Coturnix japonica: one gene and its partner. The protein of the gene in region 1 purifies or fractionates together with the protein of each later gene. This does not show direct contact. Links are inferred from orthologs where the notes say so. Each region holds a gene or a part of one and is shown in the gene's direction. Other genes may lie near its edges.

What was found. Proteins that work in one complex are often made in the same cells at the same time.
Region 2: the proteins of CDK9 (region 1) and DDX5 purify together in Homo sapiens (affinity purification with western blotting; 3 studies listed by BioGRID, with this or other methods). This does not show direct contact. The link is inferred for Coturnix japonica from reciprocal best matches to the Homo sapiens genes CDK9 and DDX5.

Annotation. Positions count from the first base shown.
Region 1 is NC_029532.1:3,652,311-3,656,504, reverse strand, and holds the start of CDK9 (cyclin-dependent kinase 9), read left to right. Parts: upstream 1-1,394; 5' UTR 1,395-1,437; coding exon 1,438-1,529; intron 1,530-1,834; coding exon 1,835-1,916; intron 1,917-2,338; coding exon 2,339-2,429; intron 2,430-4,194. Other genes in the region: SH2D3C (SH2 domain-containing protein 3C), read right to left, coding at 556-595. UniProt on the Homo sapiens protein: Protein kinase involved in the regulation of transcription.
Region 2 is NC_029533.1:7,249,813-7,253,961, forward strand, and holds the start of DDX5 (probable ATP-dependent RNA helicase DDX5), read left to right. Parts: upstream 1-1,349; 5' UTR 1,350-1,460; coding exon 1,461-1,492; intron 1,493-2,900; coding exon 2,901-3,066; intron 3,067-3,197; coding exon 3,198-3,294; intron 3,295-3,377; coding exon 3,378-3,511; intron 3,512-3,629; coding exon 3,630-3,695; intron 3,696-4,148; coding exon 4,149-4,149. UniProt on the Homo sapiens protein: Involved in the alternative regulation of pre-mRNA splicing; its RNA helicase activity is necessary for increasing tau exon 10 inclusion and occurs in a RBM4-dependent manner. Binds to the tau pre-mRNA in the stem-loop region downstream of exon 10.

The DNA of each region.
Region 1 (4,194 bases):
TCCTGCTCAGTGCAGCGCTGGCGGCGTGCAGCCCCATGGAGCCTCCTCCGAGGGCTTTGGGGAAAACCCGAGGGCTGTGAGAAAGAGCTCAGCTCCCTCCTGGTGGGCAGCAGCACTTCCTCTGTGCTCAGCTCCCACCGCTTCGGTCCCGAGCGCGGCTCCATCAGTGCAGATTTATCCCCAGCATCCACCCCATCCCTCTGCTGCAGGAGCACACAGAGGGCTCCTGGACACCACCAGCCCCAGCCATGCAGAGGGGTAAATGCTCCCTGAAAGCTGTGATTTGGGGGATCAGAGCAATGGTTCACCCCTGTCACATGCTGGCAACCAGTGCAAGCAGACTGCTCCCAGTCCAACCCCAGCACCAGAGCCATCAGCACCAGGGTTTGCTCCAGCTGTGGGGATGGAAGCCCCCAGAGCCCCCAGTTTCCTAACAAAACTGAAGACTTCTTGCTAATGAGAGGTGACCACGCTCACACTCACACACCCCCTTCCCACCCACGCCAGCCCAGGTGAGCACCCAGCACCCACCCCCTCCATCCCGATACGACTTACTGAATTTCTTGAAGCCCCCTCGTTTCTGGCCCTCAGCCATGGCTGTGCTGGGTGGAGGCTGCAGGGACAAGTTTATAAACTTGAAGCCTGTCCCTGCCTGCTCCTCCCTTCCTGTCCCCCCTCCGCCTCTCGCTTTGCTCTCTCAATCACTCAGCGCTTCCTCCTCGCTGCTGCCATCTGCTCTTATGGCAGCTGCTGTCCCCGCTATCCCCTGCGGTCCCATCCCTTATTGTCCCTGTGCTCCCATCCCTTATTGTCCCTTCAGTCCCATCCCCTGTTGTCCCTGCACTCCCATCCCTTGTGATCCCTGCACTCCCATCCCATATTGTCCCTGCAGTCCCATCCCTTGCTGTCCCTGTGCTCCCATCCCTTGTGATCCTTGCAGTCCCATCCCTTGTTGTCCCTACAGTCCCCTCCTGGCTGCTCAGGTGCCATTAATGGGATTAATGTGCTTTAGGGCCGCCCTTGAATGGCTGGGTGCCGGCATGGGGCAGGCTGGCAGCTCCATGGCTGGAGGTCCCCATATGGGGCTCAGCTCCATGGTGGAGCCCCAAGGCCCCACTGCACCATGTGCTGGTGGAGCTGTGTTGTCTGTGGGGTCATTTCTATGGGGGATGCAGTGGCCCAGAGCTGGTGGGCAGCCCCAGGGCCTTGTCCTATGGAGTGTCCCTGTATGGCCACGGCCCTTCCTATGTGGGTGACACTGTGAGGGAGGGAACGCGGGCACACAGCTATAGACAGCCATAAAGCCGCAGGGTGATACGGGTTTATCCGGGGTGACAACATGGCGGCCTAAGGTGGACTACAAATCCCAGCAGGCAGCGCGCCGGCGCGCCGGAAATAGCGTAAGGCGAGAGGGCGGAAGTGAAGCCGTCGGCCGGCATGGCCAAGCAGTACGACATGGTGGAGTGCCCGTTCTGCGATGAGGTGTCCAAGTACGAGAAGCTCGCCAAGATCGGGCAGGGCACGTTCGGGTGAGCGCTGCGGGCCTCGGCTCTGCTCCCAGCCCGGGCATGGCTCCTATGGGGCCGATTATCTGCTGTTATTCAGCGTCATGGGGAACAGGCCGCGGCCTGACCCGGGGCCTTTGTGCTGTGGGGGCTGCGGGCCTCGGCCTCCTCCTTATGGGGCTCATGGGGCCTTGTTGTTGTTACATGGGTCTCTCCGTGTTGTTATATGGGTCCTTGTTGTTGTTACGTGGGTCCTTGTTGTTACGTGGGTCTCTCCGTGTTGTTATATGGGTCCTTGTTGTTACATGGGTCTCTTCTTGTTGTTACAGGGAGGTGTTCAAAGCCAAACACCGGCAGACGGGGAAAAAGGTGGCGCTGAAGAAGGTGCTGATGGAGAACGAGAAGGAGGGGGTAGGTGTGAGCTGTGCTGTGCTATGGAGGGGATGGGGTGGGGGGTGGGCTATGGAACATCAGTGTGTATTAACTTTAATGGTGTTTACTGCTGTAACGTGCCAGGTCTTGAGTAACAGCACACAGCACATGGGGGTGGGGTGGTTGTGCTGTGGGTCAATTGGGGCTTTGCCATGTGCTGTGCTCATAGATGGGAAAGGAGGGCAGGTGTCCATGTCACACAAACACCTCCACCTTGTGGCAGAATCCTAAGGGTGGCCAATGAGTTTTGTCGCCCCTGTAATGTTTTGTAGTTTCAATTACTCTTAAATGAGCTGTTGCAGTGCTACTCAAGCAGGTGTCCTGTGCTGCAGCAGTCCAATCTCTCCTGTTCTATAAGCAGATGTGAGCTGCACTCCTAACCTGTGTCTTCTCCTTTCCAGTTCCCCATCACAGCTCTGCGAGAGATTAAAATCCTCCAGCTGCTGAAGCATGAGAATGTGGTGAACCTCATAGAAATCTGTAGGACCAAAGGTAGCTGCCGGGGTCTCATTTGTGCTGTGCTGAGGGGGTGTCTGTTTTCAGCCTTTGTTCTTGGCTCAGCAGGCTGCTGTGTTGCACTGGGGGTGGATCCTCCAGCTGAGCATGTGTTTAATCTGGGGTGACCACACGCTCATCTGTGGAAACTCATTTTGAATGAGTGCTACTGTGCTGCAGCTTGGCTGGAAAAAGCTGTTGTCAGTGCTGCTGGCACATGCCTGTGCTGTCTCAGTGACTGCTGTCTGTGTGCTGGCTGAATGGCTTTAAATGAACCTGCAGCAGGAGAGAATGTGAAACAGAACGTTTTCTGCCTGGTGGTGGTTTTGCAGCTTTATGATGCTGATGCCATTGGGAGCAGGAGCCGTGTTTCTGCAGCTCGTGGAGCTTTGTGCTGGTGACAGCTCCAGCTGGAGACTTGCTCAGCCTCTCCTGTGCATGACAGAACCCCCCAGGCTTTGAGGGCTGGATTGGAAGTGCTGCCACTTCACAGTGAGCAATTCAGTTGCTCTGTGCTGAGCTGCTGTTCCATCTCATCGCTGCAGGCAGTCCCTGGGGGAGGCAGCACGTCTCTGCTGTGTGACTGATGTGCTTAATGCACCTGGCCAGGCTCAGTTTCCAGGGAAATCATTTTAAAGCATTTCCTCATTTTTATATATCCTTCTCTTATATGGATTTGTACTGCAAAAGAGGTTTGGAAAGCGACAGATGATATTAAAGCCTGCCATGCTGTAGTCAGTTCTTTTTGGTTAAATACAATTGATAATAGCACCTTTCTGCTGCTGTTTTTTACACTCAACTGGTAGGAATCTCAGGCCTAGGTCTGGGAACTTGGTGTTGCTCCATAGAATGTAGGTAACTGTCGGTTTTTGAACCAGTAGGTAGGAGGAAAAACACTGAGTTAATGTTTAATTCTTGGATTGATTAAACCAGCTGTGATGACTGCATGCTGCTGGCACGTCTCAGGTCAATATTTTTGTAGCTGTGTCAGATTGTTTGGGTCTTGTTTAAATTCTACTTTTCTACCTTGACCTCAGATTCAAGTGAAAAACAGAAACATTTCATTGACTGTTCTCAGACTTTAAGCTTTTCTCTTTTTATGTTGGAAGAGGGGTTGTGAGGACGGCACCACTGTCATGTGCAATCTAGAAAGCATCCTCCAGGCTGCATTTACTGTGCAGGCTGAGCTTAGCCCACATTTTCTGGTTCTTGCTGCTGATCAGCAGGTTTTGCTGTGCACAGCTGATCAAAATCAGCCTTTTGTTTTGGTGTTTTGCACGTGTGCTCTAGGAGCAAGATTGAAATTGATTGCTTCATTTGAGGTTTCCTGTCATTGACCATAAATTGCAATTGAAGTTGGGGTTTTAAATCATATTGATCTGCATCAGTCTGTTCTCATAGACACCATTTGAGGTTGCAGTAAACTTCACTTTCTGATGTTGCTTTAGAAATATTTGCTGTATTCCTGTGAGTCTGTCTTTGCCTGTTCCTCCTCTAATGCTGATGCAATGATTGTGCTCGGCTGTCAGCTGTGTGTGTGCACCCACGGGCTGCAGTTTGTAGGCACAAAACCCCACAGCTGTTAATACACGCAGCACAACACACAAATGAAGCTTTCAAAGACTTTTTTGCTCTTGCTTTGCCTTTCTCATGATGTTCACTACCACTCTGATCCTCATCCACTGTTGCTTGTTTTGCTGTTTTAATACCTCTTTTTGAAGGCTCTTGAGGCATCTGGAGTCCCTGTTTTGATGTTCCTCTG
Region 2 (4,149 bases), on another chromosome or scaffold:
AGTGTACTGTCAATGTGGAGGCAGGGATTGTTATAAGTGCTTATAAAGGAGGAAAAACAAGGTAGGCTGCAGCTTTGGCTGACAAGGGAGGTGATTCAGATGGTAGGAATATACACAAAAGGTATAAATAAATAGTGAACGATTCACTGATTTTGATAACTCGCTTCGTTTTGGGCCCCCTGTTCTTATCAGGAGGGGGTGTTGAATCGTAAATGCTATTCAGATAGTGTACAGTTAAACTGAAATGCAGTGCATGGTGTGTGAGGAGCTGGGAGTGGGATATAACACAATGTGTGTAGCTGTTAAACGCAGCTCTTGTTATTTTTGTTTCAGAAAAACCTCAGACCGTGAGTTCTGTGAGGAGGTGGGAGGATATAAATGGAGTGTGAAGGCATTTCTCCCTCCTTATGGTGTGTGTGCACTGGGCTGCCAGTAGAGCTGTTATGTACCAGGCCTCACCTCGTTGCTGTGCCCAGAGCCACAGGTGTGAGCTGTTGGTTCCTCCTGGGGCTCCCAAAGGAGGCAGATAAGCAGCGCAGCAGCCACGTCAGCTGCTCCATGTTTGCTGTGCTGTCAGCGCTGTCCCTGCGTGCACTGCTGCACTCCTGGTGACCTTTGAATGGCTGGGGAAAGTAAAAATAGTGACTAATAGTAACTGTATCCAATGCAGGTATGTGCAGCTTGGAAGCGTGCAGTGGGTAAGGGCAGGGTATGAGCGCGCTGCAGAGCATTTAATCCGGCTGCTCTCCTGATTATTTGTGGCCAACCTGTGAAGGCCGCGAGGATTTGCGCCTCTAACTCCTTTAATCGCCCGGAAAGCGAGAGCGGGGCTTCCAGTAACGATGACTGGATAACACAGCGACTGGATAACACAGCCCCGTTTATTTGGATAACACAGCCCCGTTTATCGCTCGGAGCCCTTGAGACCTTCCCCAGGTGGTTCCTCAGTGTCTGTGGGGCCGCAGCATCACCACACACACAGCATCTAACACAGCATCACCACACACGGCTGCGGCCCCTCATCTCCCACCCCGCCGTCCTCTCATCGCACCACTGCCCGCCCCACACCCCGAGGCCTCTCTTGGCCCCAGGCCCGGACCCGCCTCCTGACACCCGCAGTGCGCAGGCGCAGCCGCGGGGGGGGGGGAGGGGGGGAGAGGAGCGGGCGGTGTCGGCACAAGCCCCGCCCCCAAGGGAGGGGCACTTCCGGCGCGCAGCCCGTCAATCATTCCGAGGGGGCGGGGCATTGCGGCGGCTCGGGCCGCTTGTGTAACGGGGGAGGGATCTGCGCATGCGTCACCGCCCGGCTCCCAGCAGCCCGCGCGGCGCCGTATATAACCGGCATCGGGGCGGTGAGGCGTTCTACATTCTGTGGCCCCCACCGACGGCGCCGGATCGCGTCGTGCCCTTCGTCATCCTTTTTAGCGATCGGGACCGTCTCGCCCACCGCCACCATCGCCATGCCCGGGTATTCCAGCGACAGGGACAGAGGGTGAGTCCGGGGGCCCGGCCGGCGCCAGTCGCCGCCAGCGTCCGGACTCTCAGGGCGACCGCGGGGCTCCGCGCGCTGCTGTGGAAGCCGCTCAAAATGGCGGCCGGGCCCGTGGGCTGGGCCTGGAGCGCGGCTCCGCTTTGTGACTGCGGAGCTTCGTGGGGGCGGCGGGGGGGGATCGGCCTCGGCTCACGGCTCAGTTCACAGCTCGGCTCACGGCTCGATCCGGGGCAGCTGGGAGCAGTCATTGGGGGCGGCGTGTGTTGGAGCCGCTCGGGTGCGGGTGGTTGGCGGGGAGCTCCCCCACATCCCCCCCCTCGGGGGGCGGCGGGACGAGGTTTGTGTGTCAGTGGGTTGGCCGGGCGCTGCCGGGCGCTGCGCGATGGCGGAGCCTCGAGGAGCTGAGGGTTGGGCGGTTCCCTCTTCCTCCTTTTCCTGCCCTCGAAGGGGGTCGGCGGCTCGAGCTGTTGCTGGCAGGAGCCGGCCGGCTCCCGCTTTGTGTTGTGTCAGCGGATGTTAATGGCCGGCCCCGCCATGCGGTGACTGAGGGGAAATCAAAATGCCGGCTGCTGCTGCCGCCTTTGTTCCTCCTCCTCCACCCCCCCTCCCCCCCCGCCCAGCTCAGACTCTAAAATGGCAGCGCCTGGAAAATGTGGCGTAGACAGAAATGAGAGACAAAGGAAACAGCGCTGGCAGGAAGCAGCGGCCGCTCGGCTCGGTCCCCTCTGGGAGCGCTGTGCTGTGGTGCACGATCGCTCCCCGCACCCGGTGCCGGGCTGCGGCCGGACGGGGGGAGGCAGCTCCGCGCTCGGCTCCGGGTTAGCGCAGCTCCAGGGGCTCCATGCGGGCACTGAGCCGCGTCCAGCTGCGCTTTGGGGCTGCTGGGATCGGATGGGCTGCGCCGTGTCGCTGCTCAGAACAGAGGGGCACGAGGTTAATAAAACATTAACAGAAAACGCGTGTCCTCACAACGCACGGGCACTGAGAGGAGTTTGTCGTTTGGATACGTGGTAAAAACACGTAGAGGGAAGTTGTAGCCGGGTTTTGTAACAAGCCCTGCCTGCTTTCTGTAGGCTGATAAAATGGGAGTGTCAGTTGGGTAGGAAACCATTTTGATCATGGAGTAATACAGCGGTGTTCATGTTACTTCCTTACCTGTGCTGGATCTTGCCAGTAGGCCATTCTGTTTTATGGGAGCTGCAAAGTAATGCATTACTTCACCTTCTGAGTGTGAAGATAGGTGGATTGCTGCATCTGCCACTTAAGTTTTGAAAGCTTAATATCTCATAGGTGGGGTTGGTAACTCTGAACTGTGAAGTTACAGGGCATACCACAAAGACAGCGGTTACATAATAGCAAGAGGAGAACAAATTTTCTCTTGGATCCTAAATATTGATATATTCTCTAGGTTTGGAGCCCCTCGTTTTGGAGGAAGTAGAGCTGGTCCACTTTCTGGGAAAAAATTTGGAAACCCCGGGGAAAAGCTGACCAAAAAGAAATGGAATTTAGATGAACTGCCCAAATTTGAGAAGAACTTCTATCAAGAACATCCTGATGTAGTCAGACGAACTGCGGTATGTACCCACCCAGCTCACGCAGAAGTAAACAAGCACAAACATGCTTAAGGTCATGGGACCCAGCGTGCAGTAACTTCACTAACTTCCGTGCCAAAGCTGTTTCCAGTAATGAGGTTTTTCTTTTGCAGCAAGAGGTTGAGCAGTACAGGTCAAGCAAAGAAGTCACAGTGAGGGGCCATAACTGTCCAAAACCAATCATAAACTTCTATGAAGCTAACTTTCCTGGTAAGTGCTGGCCAACATATTGTTTTATTTTTTTCCTGTCTTGATTTACAACTTGTGAGTTAAGCTCTAATTTTCTCTTCAAGCAAATGTTATGGAGGTGATTCAGAGGCAGAACTTCACTGAGCCTACTGCTATTCAAGCACAGGGATGGCCTGTTGCCCTGAGTGGATTGGATATGGTTGGAGTTGCACAGACTGGATCAGGGAAAACGCTGTCTGTAAGTTGTGATTATGATGTGGTGTACTGCTGAAATCCAGCAATGAAAGTACAGCCTGGTGTAAGGCAGGCTGAGCTCCTGGGAAGAAACTATAATGTGGCTTTTTTCTTCTGAACAGTACTTGTTGCCTGCTATTGTGCATATAAATCATCAGCCATTCCTGGAGAGAGGAGATGGACCTATTGTAAGTATTCTGAACTGAAGGAGGACCTTAGCTGCTAGAGAAGGTGGATTTCTCACAGTCTAATTGTCCATGTTAATAGGAGTGCATAGTTCTTAATCATGGAAACCTTTTAAAGTGGCCCATGTGTGGTGTTTTGGGTTTCTCTTTTTCTAGTCTCCCAGGAACAGCCCATAAGCTCTGATACGGTTCTATAAAGTTTTACAGAACAGAGCTGCTCTTCCATTTTGGAACTTGCCATCCACTAGAAGCTACAGTGAATTTTGAGTATTTTATCACACATCACTGGCTTGTGTTTAGTAATGGAGATGTTACTTAACTTTGTTTACTTGGTTTGAGATACTCAGTTCTACTTCAGTCAGTCTGGCATTGAAGTGGTGTATAACAACTTTCTGAGTTAAAATGTAAGACTAGAAATTGCATTTATGGAACTAAATCTGGGCATCTTACCTCTAGT